2 linked regions of the Drosophila melanogaster genome follow. The gene in region 2 interacts genetically with the main gene of each other region. Each region holds a gene or a part of one and is shown on either strand. Other genes may lie near its edges.

What was found.
Region 1: of blow (region 2) and siz, changing one enhances a phenotype caused by changing the other (phenotypic enhancement), as found in Drosophila melanogaster (one study listed by BioGRID).

Annotation. Positions count from the first base shown.
Region 1 is NT_037436.4:21,031,687-21,039,967, reverse strand, and holds the start of siz (schizo), read right to left. Parts: upstream 5,434-8,281; 5' UTR 5,050-5,433; coding exon 4,667-5,049; intron 1-4,666. Other genes in the region: CG10581 (uncharacterized protein), read left to right, coding at 5,776-5,821, 5,885-6,408; Polr3E (RNA polymerase III subunit E), read right to left, coding at 6,496-6,852, 6,917-7,987, 8,047-8,079.
Region 2 is NT_033778.4:7,579,476-7,590,966, forward strand, and holds blow (blown fuse), read right to left. Parts: upstream 7,605-11,491; 5' UTR 7,457-7,604; intron 6,011-7,456; exon of another isoform or gene 5,883-6,010; 5' UTR 5,636-5,882; coding exon 5,581-5,635; intron 4,748-5,580; exon of another isoform or gene 4,694-4,747; coding exon of another isoform or gene 4,660-4,693; intron 3,454-4,659; coding exon 3,139-3,453; intron 2,880-3,138; coding exon 1,315-2,879; 3' UTR 1,013-1,314; downstream 1-1,012. Other genes in the region: Vps13 (vacuolar protein sorting 13), read left to right, coding at 1-139, 201-484, 556-694, 754-996; CG1360 (uncharacterized protein), read right to left, coding at 9,029-9,496, 9,792-10,059, 10,120-10,214; scra (scraps), read left to right, coding at 10,969-10,986, 11,093-11,407, 11,471-11,491.

The sequences.
Region 1 (8,281 bases), on a different chromosome or scaffold from region 2:
GGCAGAACTATTTTAATGATGCATTAATTGATTTTCGAACGTGTGACAAATTTTAATGGGTTACAAACAAGGGAATGTAATTATTTAAAGGTGACTTTCGTATGATAATGTGTAAATTGTTAAAAGGAAATTAAGAGAAATGAACAAAACTAACATTGTCATGATCTTCGACAAAAGATATCAAAAACATGAAATAGAGACATCAAATAGGAAACATTTCCCACCAAAATCAACCAAGTAGAACCCTCCCCAAAAACTGGAGCTTTTTCTATAGTCAGTATTTGAGTAGCTGATCATTATTTTTAGTCAGAAAGACAAAAGCAAATCCCACAGTTTTTTTTTTTTTTTTTTTTTTTTTGTTGACCATTATAGTTTGTAGTTCGAGTCTCTGGCACATGAGGATGGCCATTTTTGGGGCGCATGCGCAGCCGTCAGAACCGAGCAAAAATGACCAGAAGATGGCCAAGACCGGGACTTATGGCCATGTAAAGCGTACTGGGCCTCTGTCAATGCCAAACACGATTGACAAGCCACTGGAGCAATAAGCGTTCTAGTTGGCATTTCGGATTTGGAATTGGTAGCGAGTTCCGCTGAATGGGGCAAATCGACTCGGAAGTTGTCACTTTGGGCAGGGACAACGTGAACGCATGTCTCATCAATCATTGTATCTCTTAGTATCTGCGTAACGAGCTGCGCGCGTTGTATACAAATACAAATACAAATACAAATAAAAAGGAAAAAAGGAAACAAGTACGTAACATATGCAAAAAGCTAAATCCCAAGCGGGACGCCCTCTAATTGATTACATGCTTCGTTTGAAAACTAATCCCCCGAAGACTTTAAGCCAACTGGAATTTTTCGCAAGCGCTTTTTTTCAGCTGTGACTTGACAGTTTAGTTGGAACACATGAGCCAGCACAGTTTGGCAATGACATTGTTTATTAAACATTTCATATAAATGATTTTAATTATTGTTCTTCGGCTGGCCAGCGCGTTGATGATCTCACTTTTCGATTGAAAACCGAGAAATTTGTTTTCGTTTATTGCATGCATAATAAATAAATGGTCTAGTCTGAAGCACCGACACATGCTTGCCCCAACTATCCAGATGTGTTCGGGGATCACTGGATCACAACCCAGAAAAGGGATCAACTTAATTGTGTTAATTTGCAATCGAGAACTTTGGAAGGAAAGTTATGGTATCTAAACACTTCCGCATCTGAAATAATTGAGAGAAATTACTGGTGATGGATAAGTACTTTGTCATAATAATTGAAATAGCAGAAGGAAATTGTATTCAATTTGTTTTTCATCAGCTTGAACTTATAAATTGTTAGGTCTTTAGAAAATACATTTTAGAAGGCCTATATACTTCAAGGATTACATATATTCAATTTACATATTACATTTTAGTTCAAATAGTTTTAAAAGCGGTAATAGGATTCACCACAACACACAACATTTTAAATAGTTTCTTCTGGACTTTAACCCTGAGGGAAATAATCGAACAAACCACAAAAAATCTTTCGCAAACTATAGAAAGAAATAGAAGTACTCCCTTTACTGAATTGGGTTAACACCACAAAAAAAGTGACCGCAATTAAGAAACCATCTGGATCTGTGGCTGAAACAAAGGCTTCAGTGGGAATCACTTAAAAATCAGCATGTTATTAGTGCAATTACTATCTCATTTTCAACTCCGCCCCCATTTTCAAAGTAGTTCCCATCTGCTGGTGCATTTAGATCATCCAGCCCCCAACTTGCATGTCCATTTGGCATATCTTTTAATTAAAACAAAAGTTTTGCTCTCAAACCTCAAAGATGTTCGCAGCACGCATGGCTTCCATTTTGACCATCAAACTTCCAGTCCCCCGGTATCCCCCCCCCCCCTCAACTACGCCCCCTTTTGTAATAAGGCAACCGCAGTCTTCACTCCAAATGTTGCATGCAAATGAAAGAGCAGAGTAGTAGTGGCAAGAAGGCCAGAGAACTACTTCACCTACTAAAGTTACAGAATACAGTACACACTCATTAAGTAGTCGGAAAACGTTATTCCATCCGCCCCATCTTGACCACTCCGCTCCACCCCCTGGAAAGCCCCACCATTGCCATTTTAAAAGGGGGGTCGTACGAAATTAATAGACTCTCCACTACACTCGCTTAATTATCACAAAGAGAGACCCAGAGCAAAGTTAAAAGCACTTTTCAAATGGGCAAGTGTTTTCCTCCGCCCCCTTTTCCGCATTTCCCATTTTTCTGTGGTGCGTGTGTCTGCTTTATTAGATGATGATAACTGGCTAATGAGTTGAACTCTGCGGCAAGCCAAGAAACGACATAGTTGACTACACTGTTAAAAAATATAATTATTTTCGGGTTACTTTTAAGCTTTAAGAATATATGTATAAATCAAACGAAAATGTGTATAATCATTTTGTTTTTGTTTATTTTTTAATGATGGTAATAAATAAAATGCTTTAATTGTGAGTCACGTAAGTTCTCCCAGTGTACAGAGAGAAACAACAACATTCATGGAGCAGCGGAACCGTACTCATAAGACAGAAAGCTACCCGCACAATTTCAACAACATCTCTGATCTTGAGTTTAATGTCTCATCGTGACATACTCTTTTCCATAATGAAAGATATGCCAACTAGGTGCGTGCAGCTTATCTTGTACAACTCTAATCTGAAAGTGGATCTAAGCCGTGGTAAGCATTTTTACATTACATTTAGATTCGCTAATTAAAACGTAAAAAATGGTGGTACAAATGAGGAAATGTACCTTATATGCAGGGAACGTTTGATAAGCAAATCCTGCATTTTTCCCAATTTCATTTATGCTCTATCAACTAAATTATCATTATTCAAAATAATCTGATCTGAAAGATTAATTTATATATAAGATATCTGAAGTGATTATTCATATAAAAACGTGACAATAAATAACAATTCTAAAAGAGTATCTATACATTCGACGAATGCGAGTTTAAAAGTTTCTGGTGTTTTGTGTTTCAAAGTTTTGGCGAAGGTGAGCTGCAAAAACCGAGACATAAAAAATAAACAGAAAACGCTAAGCGAATAATTGGAAGAGCCCACGATTCTACTACTAGCAGACCTTAGAGGCCAAGAAGCCCCGAAAATAAAGAAAACGGTTAAAAGATAACTGCGCTTTATTTGCGCCCACTTTGTATATGTATACATCATATATACGAAAATATCTGTATTTAAAAGATTGTCTGCGGTGGGGCATGACCGCATGCAAAGCAAAGTCAGGTACGAATATTAAGATACTCCCAACTTTATTCGACTGTCAATGGCAAAATGCCAGGCGAATGGTTTATAATATTTCTTTTCTTGTTTGCCCATGCATTTGTGAGGTTAATCTCCCCTGGAAAGACCCCAAATAAGTGATCGAAACTCGGTCTTAACATTGAATTTCCCTGAGACGGCTCTTATCGCCCGAAGTAGCACTACACATTAGTTATCAGCAGAACTAAACAAATAGAGAATTCTGGTCGATCGATAAGCGGAGAGCAACTGTAGTTCTATCACAGCACAACTGACTCATTCAATTTGGCAACGAAATAAATACAACATTATCTATTGTTCTGTTACAGATAAGCATGAGTTTTTTATGTACGGAAATACCTATCGCCACGGTGCACTTCATTTTGCGACCACGACTGTGTCGATTAGCCCACAGGTAGACCGGCGTGCAAAAAGGGGTTGCAAAAACCAGAAGTCGCACTCCGACTTGTCAGCCTGCAGCTGCCAAGGTGGCAAGGACAAGGGGACGAATGAATGTGACTCAACGAGAAGTTGACTCAACCCGGGGGCAAGGAAACATTGGAGTTGGGGGTCACGGAAATGCAGCCGAAAATGGCGATCCAAAAAAAAAATCAATGATTTTTGTGGTTTTGTTTGAGTGCTGAAGAAGAAATGGTACTTTGGCTTCAAGTTTTTGTTTTAAGATCACACAACCACAAAATATAAAGTAAGGATCTTCACTGAATGAATTATGTATTCCAGCTCTTTTTCTTATCAGCTAAAATGTTAATTTCTAATCAGAAAAGGGAAATAAAAAACTGGCCTATGTGCAGATTAAATTATGGTATAAATAAAACTACAATATATACAGATATATCAAAGGCCTTGACCTGAAACTTAAAAGCGAAATGCCGCTCTGATAAGAAGCATTAAAGAAGAGCTTTAAAAGTAGGTAGTATAGCAGAAAAGATTTTAAATATATATTGTTTCAAAATATAATCAATTTAAAGATGAATACTATCTCCTGACTGATTATAATTACTTAATGGAATATTTTGGCTCTTAATGAGATCACAAAATAAACAACCGCATTTTACAGAGTATTTAGTGAGAAATTGTTCTTTGTAATATGTAAAATGCTCGTTGACACATCTAGAACAATATCGACAAAATTCTTTTTAAATATGTTGAAATCAAATTGCTGAACATTGCAAATTTTTTCTGGCCCCCAAATGCCATGAAAATTATTTTGCAACCGCAATTTTAAAGTGCATCTCTTCCTATTGGAAGTTTCCATTTAAGCGGGATGTCCAATAGGAAAATATGATATGCCATTAATTCACCCTTATTTAACAGATATTTGAATATATTACTAGATAGTAAACATTGGTGGGCACTCACTTATCATCGAGATCGACGGGCAGTCGCTTGAGCTCCGACATGTCCAGCTCCAGTCGCAGATTGGACACTTCACAGAGCAGGCGATCGCGTTCCAGACTCAACTCCTTGATCTTGGCGTGCAGGGCATTGTTCTCCCGGAGCAGCTCGTCCACATTGTAGGGCATCGCATGCACATGGTGATGGGGCATGTTGATGGAGAGGGGCAGGGGCAGGGAAACGGGTCCAGGTGGGGCGACACCCCCAGCGGAACCGCCCGGCCCTCCTTGGTTTCCCACAAACATTATGGAGCTGGCCATCAGCAGGGACTGCGTGGTCTGATGCAGCAGCAATTCCTGGTCGCCATCCGAGTTCTGGGATAGATTCTTCAGATCGGCCTCGGACATGTTTTGTTTATAACCTTAGCGGGGATCGGCTGCACTCCTAATCGATGTGCTTTTGTGGCCAAAACATTATAGCCCCGCCACGCACACGCACTCGCGCGAATGAGGGAAGGTGGTGGAGAGGGTGATAAAACAGCGAAACAGGCAGAACCACTTTGAATCTCACAATAAGAACTGAAAATGCAGCTTGCTGCGAGTTGAAACTTCACTCGTATTGTAATTGAATGACCTTCGTATATTATACTTCAGAGCCAGCACTTCGAATCGCGAGCAACAGTTGGTGCGGATCGGAGGGGGATTACGAATATTCTCGGAATTACGGATTTTCAATTCACGCGCGACGAAAAACACGACGCACTCGTCGTTCGACGTTTGGAAACAGTGTGGACGTGCTGGGGGGCACCGCAGTGTGACCATAGAGCATGCAACTCAAAATACGCTATCGTATTCAAAAAATATACCGCATCAAATGTGGCATTTTAAGACGACCGTTTTATTTTAAAATATATTGTTGTTTTCATCTTATTTAAGAAGGGCATAAACAATCTTAAGTTTATGCTCATTATTATACATAAGCATTTTCTTTCTTTGATAAATTTAAAACTCATTAAATCTAAATATGTGTGCATTAATTAAGATTTATTTTGGAACTGCCAATGATCCATTCCTGGTTGATCTAGTTCACCACAAAAATATTCTATAAAATTGGTATTGTAATAATAAGCCGACATGAAGAACCAAAAAAATATAACCATTATACTAACTGGGCCACCAGGTGCAAATTTAGCTGGGAAAATATTTGCTATTTGTTTATTATGTATGTAATCATGATTTTCAGGAGTGGGTAAAACTACACTGGTCCACAAAATATGCTCGGCTCTGCAGGATAGAGGACGCATTCTTCAAGGATTCTACACAGAGGAAATGCGAGGTGAGGGCACCAGCCAAAGAATCGGCTTCGACGTGGTCACGTTAGCCGGAAAACGAGCAATCCTATCTCGCAAGAATCCCGGGGACCAGCTGCGACGACCCAAAGTGGGAGAGTATTCGGTGTTTGTGCAGGACTTCGACAGTCTCGCTCTGCCAGTACTTGGCACACAGGATTCCCAACCAGAGCCGGATCTCCTGGTCGTGGATGAAGTGGGCAAAATGGAGCTGCTTAGCAAGCGATTTGAGTCGGCCATGGCTGATCTCCTGAAGAAAAAGCGGGCCCTATTGGTCACCATACCCGAGAAATCAACATTGGCTTTGGTGGAGCAGCTGAGAAAGTCAGCAGGATCCAAGATTTACCAGGTGACCAAATTCAATAGGAACGCCTTGGCTGGAGAGATTACAGAAGAGATTACAAAAGCACTTCTTTAACAAAGTAAAATTGTTGGTCTTTTTAATAGTGCCTAGATGTATAATCGTGCTGCCGATTCTCCGCCGCTGGGAGATCATCATCCGATGCTACGCATCCACGGAGCCAGTTGTTGAGTGATTCATTGCGGGCGGCGGCATGGCTGAAGTCAGTGACTGGGATTCGCTCTTCCTCGTCGAACGTTTCCGAACACGTTTGGTTTCCCTAGCCCAGTCCATTTCATTGTAGTGCTGCTCGGAAGCGGTCCAGTGGTACTCCTGTCGGCTGACCAGTTCCGGGTACTTTTGCTCGAACTCCTTGTCGGGTGGCAGTAGCAGCTCCCACCGTTTTGTGTTATTCACCCGGGCCACAGTCTTCAAAACGTCAAGTGTTTCCGCAGGAGGTAACTGGGTGGCGGCCATTACCTGAGCTCGGAACAGGTAGGGCGTGCGGGAGAAACGAAAGAGCTGCGGATGGATTTGAGGAGATTAGTACAAGATAAGTGATCGCTACACCCATACTATAACTCACTATATAATCTCTGGCGCGAATCATCTGCTCTGCGGACACACCGTTCGCATGGGAAAGCACCTTCTCGGGAAAGACCACCTCGGATTTCGGCACCCAGTTGCCGTGCAGTAGGATGCCCACCTGGGGCAGCAAAGCCAGCACCTTGTCGGCAGCCACATGCGGATCCACGTGCTCCGCGAGAATACTAATGACGTCGCTGAACGAGAGCATCCGCGCATCTCTCAGTAGCACTGTAAGCTGTTCCAGCAGCGGCATAGACTTAAGCATGGCCTTGTTGTAGACGGGAAGTACTTGGGCGGCAGCAGAAGCAGCTGCTGGGGCTACCGTCTGCACATGCTCGTCGTAGGGCAGAAGCTTTCGAAGATATTCGTCAGGAGCGAGAGCCAAAGAGGAACTGCCGTGATGACTGGTGGCAAAGAGCTTCTGGCGCTCCAGTTCGGCGGTGGGCGTGCCCCTCGAGTGCCAGTAGGCCTCGCACCACGGCTCATCCGCAATTCGCTGGACGAAACTGTCGTAGGTGCCGACACGTTGCTCCTTTCCGCTGTTTTTGGCATTTCCTCGTGCAAATTTAACCGTGACCTGCTGCAGCACCTCGTCATCGTCCGTGTCCTCCGTTTGAGCCTTCAGTTCCGCCTTCTTGCGCTTGTCGTCCTTATCGAAGTGACTGAGAACGGGTCGCATTTGGACTATGGATGTAAGTGGCGACAGATGCACCTCCCGATCCGTAAAGATGCCCACTATGTACTTGGCCACATCGGTTATGGAACGCGAGCTTGTGAAGGCCTGTTTGTCCATGATGCCACGTTTGTAGGTGGGTCGCTCCTGACCCTTTGGTGGAACTGCTCCATAGGTGTTCTTTCCGTCGGCGGCCACCGCAAATTGCTCGCCCTTGAAGCGATCGAAGTGGGCCGACTCAATGTCCAGGCCGAAGTCCACCTTCACCTCCTGGGCGATTGGTTTTACACAACAATTGACAATCACGGAGTCATCGTGGTTGGGGAGCTCCGTTTTCGTGGGGTATTGAAAGAGATACAGGCTGTCCCTCAGGTTCTTCGACAGGAATACGGGAATCTGGTGGGGATGGGCGGGCATTGTTCTCATGGTAATAATAGTGCCACTCACATACTCACCTCCTCCACGACGGGATCGTCCTCGTCTTCCATAATTTAAATTTCGATTTGATAGTTTTGTCTGCCGACGGTGCACGCCTAAATATCCAGTGTGACCAGGTTGCCTTCCTTCGGTAGCCAGCTCTGCAAACAGCTGATCGGCACAGTGGTATACAATCACTCGAACTATCTCTCATTAGGCTCGAGATTGAATAATACATTTTCACTATGAAAAACATCAAAAAGTCATAGTAAT
Region 2 (11,491 bases):
AATAACTGGTGCTATGGGAAAGGGTTTGGCTGCGCTGACCTTCGACGAGGACTATCAAAAGAAACGACGACAGGGTATTCAAAACAAACCGAAGAACTTCCACGAAGGATTGGCCCGCAGCAGCAAGGGTCTAGTGATGGTAAGACCTCATCTATGTGGTTCATCAGTTTGAAATCCATATGACTCTATAATTTTATCAGGGCTTTGTGGACGGTGTCACTGGCGTTGTAACCAAACCAGTGACTGGGGCTCGCGATAACGGGGTCGAGGGCTTCTTCAAGGGCCTGGGTAAGGGTGCAATTGGCCTGGTTGCTCGCCCCACCGCTGGCGTGGTTGACTTTGCCAGTGGCAGCTTCGAGGCTGTGAAACGGGCGGCGGATGCAAGCGAGGATGTGAAGCGTATGCGACCGCCGCGTTTCCAGCACTACGACTTCGTGTTGAGACCCTATTGCTTGATGGAGGCGACAGGGAATAAAATAATGAAGTAAGTGTCGATAGCTACTAGATTTTCAGCTGGAGTACAAAAAACGCGAACTTAACCAAATATACTCGCAGGGAAACCGACAAGGGTAAATTTGCCACCACAGATAACTTCATTCACTGTGAGGAGATTATCCAAAAGTCCGAGTACTTGGTGGTGACCAATTACCGGGTGATGTACGTGCAACGTAACGAGATGTTCGGCGTTTGGACGGTGAGTTTTGCTGTTAACTTTCAGTAGTTGGACCTTACTTATACTTCTTTTACACACAGTCTCTTTGGTCCTACCTATGGAACGAGATTAGCTCCGTGGCTGCAACGGCTCGCGGTGTCCAGTTCACAGTAAAGACGGATGGCAAGAAGGTACTTGGTCTGTTTAGCAGCAAGGAGTCACCTCGAAAGTTAGTGCTCGTGGCAGATGAGCGCAAACGTGACGCTCTTGTGGACATTATAGAATCTCAGCGCTCCGATCCCAATCCGTTAAGGGCCACCATCGCCTATCCGGCTCATAATTGACAATAGAACTGAATTTATTTCCCAACTATATTATAATCCAATCACATCCCCACGACAGCAGCAACGACATGGAAATCTACCTCGATCATCAAGATTTTTTCTGTCCAAGCACCGTGCGCCCAATTGGAAAACTCAAACTTACATGTCGCACTTTTACGTATGTTAACAACCATGGTTTTGATATTAAAATTTTATGTCAAAGTTATGTGACATCCGGAGAGTGGTTTTCACTAGCCTAAGGATTAAATCTACAATACAGAGACGAACGAGCTCTCCAGGACGTCGGATGTGAATAGCAGATGACGGATGTGCGGCAGTCTACACCTTCTTGAGAAAGCTGCTGGGAGTCGTGGCCAGGGGCATGATTGGCTCGTAGTTGTTGCAACCATCACTTTCGCAGAAGGATGTCAGCGAGGCGAGTGCATTGGCGGCCAAAGCTTCCACGCTGAACATGGTGGACAGGTGACCGCTACTCTCAAACTGGTTGATAATCATGTTCACCTTGCTCTTGGCCTCCGCCTTCAGACACGGCGACGTGGGCGGGCTGCCCGGCAGGCCGTGATACCGATCACCAGGACTTGCATCATAGCCCTCGCCCAGCTCCGCTTCCGTCAGCAGGTTCTCCTTCTCGCTCTGCTTGCACTTGGCGTTGGTTGGTGATGCACTGCCCGTGTTGGTCGCCTTCAATCCGGTGCTCTTGTTAAGGCGACTGAGGAACCAGTTTCGTGCCAGCTTGTCGCAGTCCTTGCTGACCGGACTGGATTGCGGTGAGGTGGTTGACTTGCGCTGCTTCTTCTGATCCTTGGTGGGCGTTTGGACGGGGCTGGTCAGGGGAGAGAGCATCTCCGGTTCACTACCATTCGAATAGCTCTTTTTCGCTGCCTTTTTCAGACGATCCGGACTGGGACCGGCCGCTGATAACTGGGTGGAGAGCTCACTGTGCACTGTTTTCACCCTGGCCTGGAAGTCCAGCGATATGCTTCCGTGCAAACTGGAAGGCTGCGGTTGCACCTTAATATCTCCCTCGTTGAGTAGTCCCAGGGATTCCAGCTCCCCACTTACAGATGCCACCCTGGAGGAGGTGTCCTGCAGCGGCTGTGCCGGGCATTTGGGCACATCGTACTCGAAACGTCGGGCGAGGGCGCTTGGGCTGTTGCTTTTCTCCGGCAGCTTAGGGAGCACCATGGAGGAGGAGTCTATGAGACCATACACGGGCGAGGGCTCCTCGTAGATGATATCCGCTGCTGTGTAGGTGGATTTCTTTTGGACCGGCGGCGTGGGCAGTTTCCGGGGCGGTGGAGTCTTTAACGCTGAATGAGCACCAGCATCTCCGCGGATGGCCGCCTCAATGGCGTGTATCCACTCTTTGGCATCGACTTCGTTGTTGGCCTGGTACACGAACTTCTTGTTGGGGTCGTCTGTTGTGATCTGGAAGCAGATGTCGCGCCGCTTCCCCTCTCCGAAGTGTTCAATCTCGATGGAGGAGCTCTTCAAGTAGAGCGTGCTGCTGGGTCGACAGGCGGTCGGGCCGTCGGCATAGCACAGCATCCAATCGTTGAGGATGCCACAGTAGCACTTGCGGGTCTGGTCGAAGAACAGCCGCTTGGGCACAATCCTCTGCAGCTGTCCGTACTTTGTTGACCTCTGCAGGGACAAGTGGCCAGCGGGCAGATCTGCATACGGGCAGTCAATGAACACCTCGTGGGTAAAGGTGATCGCCTGTTGCGCCTCATCCTCGTCCTGGCCCGCTCCCTGGCCCTGGCAAATCTCGTAGAGCTGCTGATGTGGCTCCTTGTCCTTCGCTGCCGGAACCGGTTGATTGACGGAGCAACGATCCAGGGATCCGCTGCTGCCCAAATCAATGTACTCCCGCGAGGCGGACACTGCAATTACGGGTAATTAGTGCTAATTGTAGGCATTAGAGAGGTACAGGTACAGTAGTGCTTCTAAAGCCTGGCTATCCGCTTTGCAACCATTATGCTGGTTTAAGTCTCTTTCAACAATGTACCGTTTTTTTTTAAATATAAATACATAATTGTAGAGCTTACAAAAGTTACCAGTATACTTTAGCATGGTTTATTTGGATTTCAGTTAGGGAAGCATGACTGTATGTAATATGTATGAGTAGTGTTCAGCACTCACGTGAGCTTTTCGAGGGTGACGGGGAGGCAAGCATCTCCAGATAACCGCTGGGACCGGTCTCCGCGCCCACCTTGCTATCGACACAGTCGACCAGGCTGGAACGATGGTTAGCTGCCGCCTGCTCGTCTGCGCATCCCAGCCCTGATCCCAGTTCCAGTCCCGATCCCGATCCCGATGCAGAACTGGCTGCAGCCAGCAGGATTTCGCAGCGGGCCAGAAGAGCGGCGGTCTGCTCGGCGGCCGTCACATGGAATAGGTTCGAGGTGTTCTCGTACTCCGAGGTCTCCAGCGAGGCTCGGAAGTGGGCGCGGACATCTGAAAGCAAGCAGAGGGGAGGATCGTAAGCTCTTCAGCTGGCTAAATAAGGCGGCGGCCCCATCGGCTATTATTTTTAAACGCATCATTGAGCCTAATGGCGGGGCAGTTGAGCAACAGAGTAGCTTTCTTGGGCGGGCAATTAGTGGGCCAGTGGAGTGGTGGTGCCTCTTCTGCTCCGACTTCTGCAGCCGTGACTCACTGGCTCTACCGTTCCCAGCCAGAAGTACGGTCACAAACGCATGTGGGTATGTACATGTACATGTACATAAGTGACCTCATAAGCTCTTGCTCAAGAGTCAACTGCGAATTGACCGGGGCAATTAAAAATAATTTCACTGACCAAGAAAGTTAACTCTGGTGTCTGTTACCCCACCCTCTGTCCAGAAATGCCCACATCCACAGAAAACCAGAAGACGCTGAAATTTGCCCGAAATCTTGTTAAAACTCAAGCACGCAAAGCTCCGGTGAACTGCTCTTAAAAGTAATATGTCCAAATATGGAAATAAGAAAAATATCCAAAAGTCGTGCTGGCGAAATGCGAACTGGAAATGCCCTTAAGAATTTGAGATCTTAACCAGAAGAGCTTGGTCACTTGGAGTTTTTTTTGGCAACTTTCCATCATTTAATTGTTAAAAACGCCTTGGACAAATAATAGTTTCAGCTTGAAGCCAAATTCTTATTATATATAGTTAGGAGCGATAATTTTTTTTTTAAGGAAGTGGAAACAAGACTTAACTTAACCGTTCAGTTAAAACGTTTCGTGCAAAGGCAACTTTTTGCTCCCAAACTATGGATAATTGGGGATCTTGACAGTGCATATCTTTCCAACCAAATGAATTAGGGAAAAGGGCATTAAAAGTATAATTTGTTTGATCTGTATGCCAAATCAGCACTCTGACTTTGGCCTTTAAGTCTACAGCAGAGGAAAGATTACTAGGTGCAAACTAACCAATTTAAAATGGGATAATAATGAAGAAGTTTATCCTATAAAACATTATAAGTATGTATATTTGTTATCAATAAGCTTGTCTCGCTGTAATATGTGTTGCAGAAACCAACTGCTAAGTTGATAATTGTGTCTTAATCAGGATCGTTGGGAAACTCCTCAGAAACTCATTTGTACGATATATGTATCAATGTGAGGCATACACAAACAAATATAAATTGAAGCAACAGTCATCGGAGGAGGGTGGATATACATACATATATGTACGTGCTCCTCTATTCCCCTGATCATGCCCTGAGAGCCACTGAACCGAGACCCGAGAAAGTGGAACCGACTAGGGAAGGTCCAAGATGGGCTAAAAGAGCGCTTAAGGCTTAGTTCTGCGGCATGTCCAATCCGCTGTTTATTGTCTTTCTCGTCCACATACACATGTAGAATGATTTAACGAAATAACCACAAATATATATATGTACATATATATAAACGATTCGGGGGAACAGCGCTCCAAAGAGGAGCCCAATTGGGACTCGATAAAGTGTACGAAATACGCGCGAGGCGAAGGAGGAGGAAGAGGAGGAGGGCCACTAAAATATCCAGAAGAGTCCGATGGTCTGGTCACAGGCCAAAAGAAGAACAAAAGAGTATTAAGCTCGGGCGCCTGCGGAATGAGTCAATACTAATACTCCGGCACTGGGTTATTGTTAATGGTTATGTTTTGGATCGCCTCCTCCTCCTCGTCCTCCTCTTCCGCCTCCTCCTCCTCCATCTCTTCTCAACTTTGAGTCGGTGTGTAATTTTTTGATGGCGCTGTTTGCCTGGCGAAATTAACAAAGTTTCTGTTGATCTATCTCACACTAACTGGCTTCAATTTTGCTTTGCTGATTTTAGCTACACGCAGAAAAATAGGTATGCCATAAGTAGAATTTTCTTTATGAGATAGGAACACTATCGATGGAAACAAAAAAAAAAAAAAAAAAAAAAAAAAATCATAAAAATAAGTTTTGAAGAAATATGAGATTGGCTATTGTAAACCAAGGATTATTTTGCTGCTTTCCAACCGCTTTTAAATAGTTGTCTTAAACAAATACGAGTATCTCATAAGCACTTTTATGTGCTGATAAATAGCTACTTATACTATTAACACCCAAGACCGATTCTTTGAGAAAAACCTGGCTTACCCAACAAAAACTGCTCAATTTCGGCCAGCTTGGTAGTTGTTGGTTTCGGATTCATGGCTTCTAAATAGTATTGTATCCGCACTTTTGTATTCCGATTTTAGTGTTCAGTGTTAATTTGAGGCGATTTGCGTTAATGTGCGTTGAGTGCTAGTTGTTGTTTGGCCGGCCGAACGCTTGATTTCTCGCCCGGGCTTTATTGTGGCTTCTTTGCGATCTGGATCGGAATAGTCATCTGTATCTGTATCTGGCATATCCACCAACTGCACACCACACGGCGTTTTGCCTTAGAAATTAACAGTTTGCTGTCAAAATGGGATAACACATTTGTATTTTTATTAGATCACATGCACAGCAGAACCGATCGGATGCACTATCTTCGATTGCGATGACGGGAGTGGAGCGCGGAACGGATTGCGACCGGAGTGCTACTGAAGGTACACGCATATACCCATTCCCGGGCTATCAGATGCTCGATGCTGCCGTGCCACGGCAACTACCTCCCCCGCTGAGGAGTCGACCTATAAATAGCTGGGACATCGATGCAGCAGCACGGATATCCAGATACCTAGACATCCAGACAACCAGATTTCCAGACATTCAGACATTCAGATACAATGCAATCTCTATTGCGCTCTATTCTCTATATTTCGTTTTTACTATTGTCTGCTCTTTTCGCCTTTTCGGTTGCACGCTTCGTTTGGCGCCCCATGGAAAATGAAAATCAAGCGATGACGTTATGTATCTCTGGGTATCTGGCGGCTAGAGTATCTGGATTCGCTGATGGGGAAACAGTGTGTGCTTGCCATTAAGTGTCATTACGACATCCCCATTTATTGGGCCTCTGCACTTGTCGGGTGTCTCCGTTTTTGTTTATAATTTTCAGTTTTCACTCCTCTGGCGTGCCTGTCATTTGCGGTTACCACTGTGCTGTGGCCAAGAACCGCATACAAATCGGGCGGCCACACGCAGAGGAGCTCGGACCCGGGACTTGAAACTGGGGACCTGTGCCTGCGACGGGGCCCCTTGTTTGGGGCCAAGCCCTTTAATTGTGACTCATCTGTGGGCGACGCGTGTCGCCACAAAGAAGCGACCGTCTGTCCGGCGAGAAGATGCAAATACTCTCGCACTTCTGCTTACCCAAAATTGTCTCTGCTACAAAGAAAAATATCTCAAACTGACCGATTTGAATACCCAACTTATTAGTGTGCAAATATTGAAATAACTTCTATATTTCAGAACGTTATTGTCAGTTAGGTTGATTGATAGATAGATAGATAGATAGTCAGTCAGAGAGTTTCTCGAACTTTATGGCCATGTTCTACTGTACAAGCGAACTGCTGACCATTTCTCTGGGCCTCACTATATACACCCGCTGCCATTTCTACGTGTCCAGAGACAGCTTTTACTTTTCGGTTCTTTATTTTTTATCGTGACCATAAAACAGAAATGTAATTTGATTTGCACCGAGCGGCCGAAGTATTTGCTTCCTTTGTGCCAGCCGTTGAAAATATGTACACATATATAGTATATTTATTGATTCAGAACATTTGCAACTGGAGACCGCGACACCTTTGTTTGCAATGGATAATCGAATCGAATGGCGAGCTCCCAACTGGCTGTCGTTCCGCGGAAAAGCCAAACAAACTGTTGGCCAGCTGGCTTCGCCGCGCGAGACTTTTCCGGCCCCGAAACTCAATGGAAACCTGTGCGCAGGCGTGTCCGACACCCCACTGCCACTGCCATCGCCATCGCCAACGCACTCCCCACTCCGCCGCGCGCTCCTTGCGCACTTCCGGTCATTTCCGATCCCCCCGAATGGCCGGCTTCCTGCTGCCGAGGAGCCCCCAATAACGAATTACGAAATGCATCCACGCACCGATTTCGGTCTTGCATCCGGTTTTCCACTGCGTTCTGACTACGTTGACACCTTTTCGCTCGCGGGCGAACTGTTCACCGCCGGAGCCAAGAAGCGAGCGCGACTTTCCGGCTGTTGCGCCACCATGAATCACTCGAGCTTAACTGCCCGACTTGGAGCTCGTCCGCTCTAGGAGCGCCAGCTTGGGCCGCCGCCAGCCGATGGCCACCCGAACGCAGCCGAAGTGCCCTCGGCTTTGGATCTCTCTCTCTCTGCACGGCGCGAAAAAATTGAACTTAAATTCGGTACGCAAAATTTCAATTCTAAAGAAATTACTCATTCATAACTATAAGACAAGTTTAAACAGCCTACGATTATGTTAACCATTCTAAGAAGGTTCGCTAAGAAGTAGTGCGATTTATATGACCAACTTCTATCAAAATTTAGATGACTTTTTTAGTGTTGCAGTGAAATATTATACGACTTTGCTTTGCTTTTTCGGTGGAATAAATAGCCGGCCGGCTTGGCGGAGTTGGATGCCCACGCCCAAGCGGCATGTCCCATTCGGATACCCCATCCTGGAGTAGGCACCCGAAAATTGTACCGCTCTTGCCACATTTGGAGAGACGATCACGCTGCTGATATCATATTTTAGAGAGCATCATGCCCATTTTGGCAATGGCAAAACAGGCCGCTACACTACGGTCGGGCTCCCATAAGTAGAACGACTTAAAGGTGCTCAATCTGCCATCAAATACATTGTTGCGCACAATGTACGCTCGATAGTCGAAGTTCTGGCTCCCCTTTCTCAGATATTTAATTACAGAATATTATTGTTTACAACAATATAAACATTGCGAATAATTGTACATATTTGTATTATAATTTCAAGACTCTCTATTACAATTTATGTTTGTATATCACATTTTCTTAATATTAAGTAACTGTCCTTAAAATGGCATTATTTCCCTAAGGTAAACTTTTTTTTCCTCATTCTGCATGTGCATGCATACAAGATGTTCGTGCCGAGTGGCTAGTCTGTGGAACCAGAAATCTTCTAATGTGGCAGGCAGATGTTGTTGCCGCAGCTGCCGAGAAATCCGAGTCTTCGGCACAGAAAGGGGTAAGCAGAGGGCCATGGGTCGAAGCCGAGTCTGGAGCCTTCTCCTGTGCGTGTGCTCTTCACAATCGGCGGCAGATAAAGCGGCCCGTCCAGAGCCGATCGGCTGCCCTTTTTGGGCAGCAGTTTTGAAGGACGCGTTCATGGGATGCTGAGGCAAACAACTCAATTTTAATTAAACGTTGCGCTCCGAGAAATAAATTAAGCATGCTGACCAGGTTGGCTGCGCAATATCTGGACAACCTTGGGTCCCCCCGCCTGGACTTGTCTCCGGCAGCAGTGATAAGTGCATAGCCGTTGCGTGATTCGACCCAGAAGACCGGGCGAGTGGATAACAGGTTCCCACCTCGGCTGGCTTTATCAAGCGGCACAAAGAGTCTGATTCTAGTATTGTGCTAACGCTTAATTATGTGCCACAACAAGTATTTTCATTCTTTGTACTTTAATGCATGGCCGGAGCTGTCTTCTGGCCGCTACTTGAGGAACGCTTGGAGGCGATTCTGCTGCGTTTTGCTGGCGTCTTTAAACGCGTTCGACTTCAGCTGGGCAGCTATTTGCAGCAGTACGTTCTGCTTCTGGGTTTTGGACTGCGTTTTTGGTGCGGTGGGCGCTGGCTGGGCAGGCTTCTTCTTTTTCTTCTTCGATGTCTGACTTGGGTTTTGGGAAGCTATGCCGACTGGTTGGGACGCGTTTTTGGATGGAGCTGGCGATTTCGAAGGCTGCTGCTGTCGCTGAGGCGCTTTTTGCTGCATTTTCAGGCCTGCATTGATATCTTTATTCGGCGCCTGAGACTTCTTCGTTTTGGCCTTCTTTTTGTTTTGGCCCGCTGGCGCAGGTTGTGTGACTACCATTGTCTCCTCCGTGGCTTTTACTTTGGCGCGCTTTCGGCTCTTCTCCAGAGCCAACATTGTCTTGTGATGGCAAACATCGCAGTCCACGGCCTGCAAAATGAATTGGGTTGTGGTTAGAGTGGCAGGAATGGGTCCATATGTACACACACAAAACACTGTATAAAGATCTTTCAGCTTCCTTGGTGTTAATTTAAATTATTATTTGCCCAGAAGCTTGATACATAAATTTATATTGCGCTTATAAGGTACTAAACTATCCATCTATACCATTCATCCATGGAAGCAAAGAGATATTATATTTATATTTATGAAATTAAAGAAATAAAAGTATTTTTTCCCACAATCTAGACATATTCTAGACATTCTATTAGCTCCTGGTTCTCACCATGTTACTGGCCATACGCTTCTTGAGCCACTTGGCCCGTTTCCTGGCCCCGCTGTTCATCTCGCCCTTTGCCATCTTGCCCTTCACGGCTTCCAGCTTGGTGATCAGTCTCCGGTTCTTAGCACTCTGCATCAGTTCTTGTGGCTGGAGGTGGAGCTGGTAGCGGCCACCTGTCCACTGGTTCCCGCAGCGGGAGCACATGCGTGCGGGTCCAAAGCTCTCCTCGGGCAACTGGACATTGTGCCGGGCCAGCTTCCTACAGGTGGTTCTGGGTTGTTTTGGAAACGAAATTTTAGTGGGTGCTTAAGGAATTGACAACGGATCTCACATGTAATAGGATTTGAGGATCCGTTCTGTGTGGGTTTGGTCGGTCAGCTTGGAGGCACAGTTCCACAGCAAATTTACTGTTTTTTGGTCACTCATGGCGGACGCTGACAATTTACTGAAAAAACAAATTCTATATATTTAAGCGTAATTATTTCCAGAAATGTTTTCCTACATTAATTAACGAAACCCCAACAGAAAAGCCAAACTTAAAGAGGTAGCCTAAATAGAGGAAACATGCCAAAATTCTAGCCAAAACATACAGCACTGACGGCACAACGTGTGCAGCTCACCAGAGAAATCAAAGGTGCATTTCAAGCCTAATTCCAGGTTCTTAACTTACCAGCTATGCGTGATAAATATTGAAAGTGATACGTGGTAAATTACGGTTGGATATTCATATTATAACATCAATAAAAACCCTTTTTGATAACGCTTTAAGAAAAATAAACAGCTGTCGGCCGAAATTAAACCGGTAAATATGTGTGATTGGTGAACCGGTTTAACCATTGATGTGCGACAGAGCTGCCACCCTGCCAAATACGACAAAGTGGCAGCCCTTGGCAACTCACCACTGGCATTTTCTCCCCAATTTCGGTATTTCGTCGTGGTCAGTTGAGGGTCCTATGGCATTTGCGCGTCGTTTTGAAATTATTCAACACATCTGAAAAGCCAACCGCCGAAACGAGCAGAAGCGACGCGCAGAATTTCGAATGCAAACGGACGCGCAACCCGCCAGTGAAAAACAAACATCAAATATCGCCAACGTGGAGTGTCGAGCAGTACAGTGAATTCAATAGCATAGTGCGCGCAATCACAACTCGCATTTGCATTTGCAGCTGCAGCAACAACAATGGACCCGTTTACTCAGGTACGAGGCCAATTCGCACACAGCAAAGCCCTTTGTCTGGTGATTGCACTGGTGTTAGTGAAGGCACCCGCGGATTTTCACTGCTATTTCCCATTTTCCCTTGCAGCACATGCTCGAGAAGGCGGAACAGCGCAGTCGCGCCCTTGGCATCAGCAATGCCAGCAAATTTCCGCTCGTCGAGTGCAGCGTTCCAAGCTCCTCCGCCACCTCCGCATCCGGCGGGGATGCTGGGGTCCTGGCACCGAGGAGCCGGTCGCCTGGAGGCCAGAGCGCGGCTAGCGGCGGCGGCAAGGTCGTTACGTTGGGAAAGGCCACGCTGGAGGCGTCGCCGGCGAAGCCGCTGCGTCACTATACGGCGGTAAACAAGGAAAACTTGGATATGGGCATAGAGATAAACATAACCACGGACAAGCCAATTGGGGTAAGTTTTCCCGTTCTTTTCTGGGTTCTTCCCTTTTGCTCATCCTTGCTGCACTACCTTCAGGTGCAAGTTGAGATTCAGGAG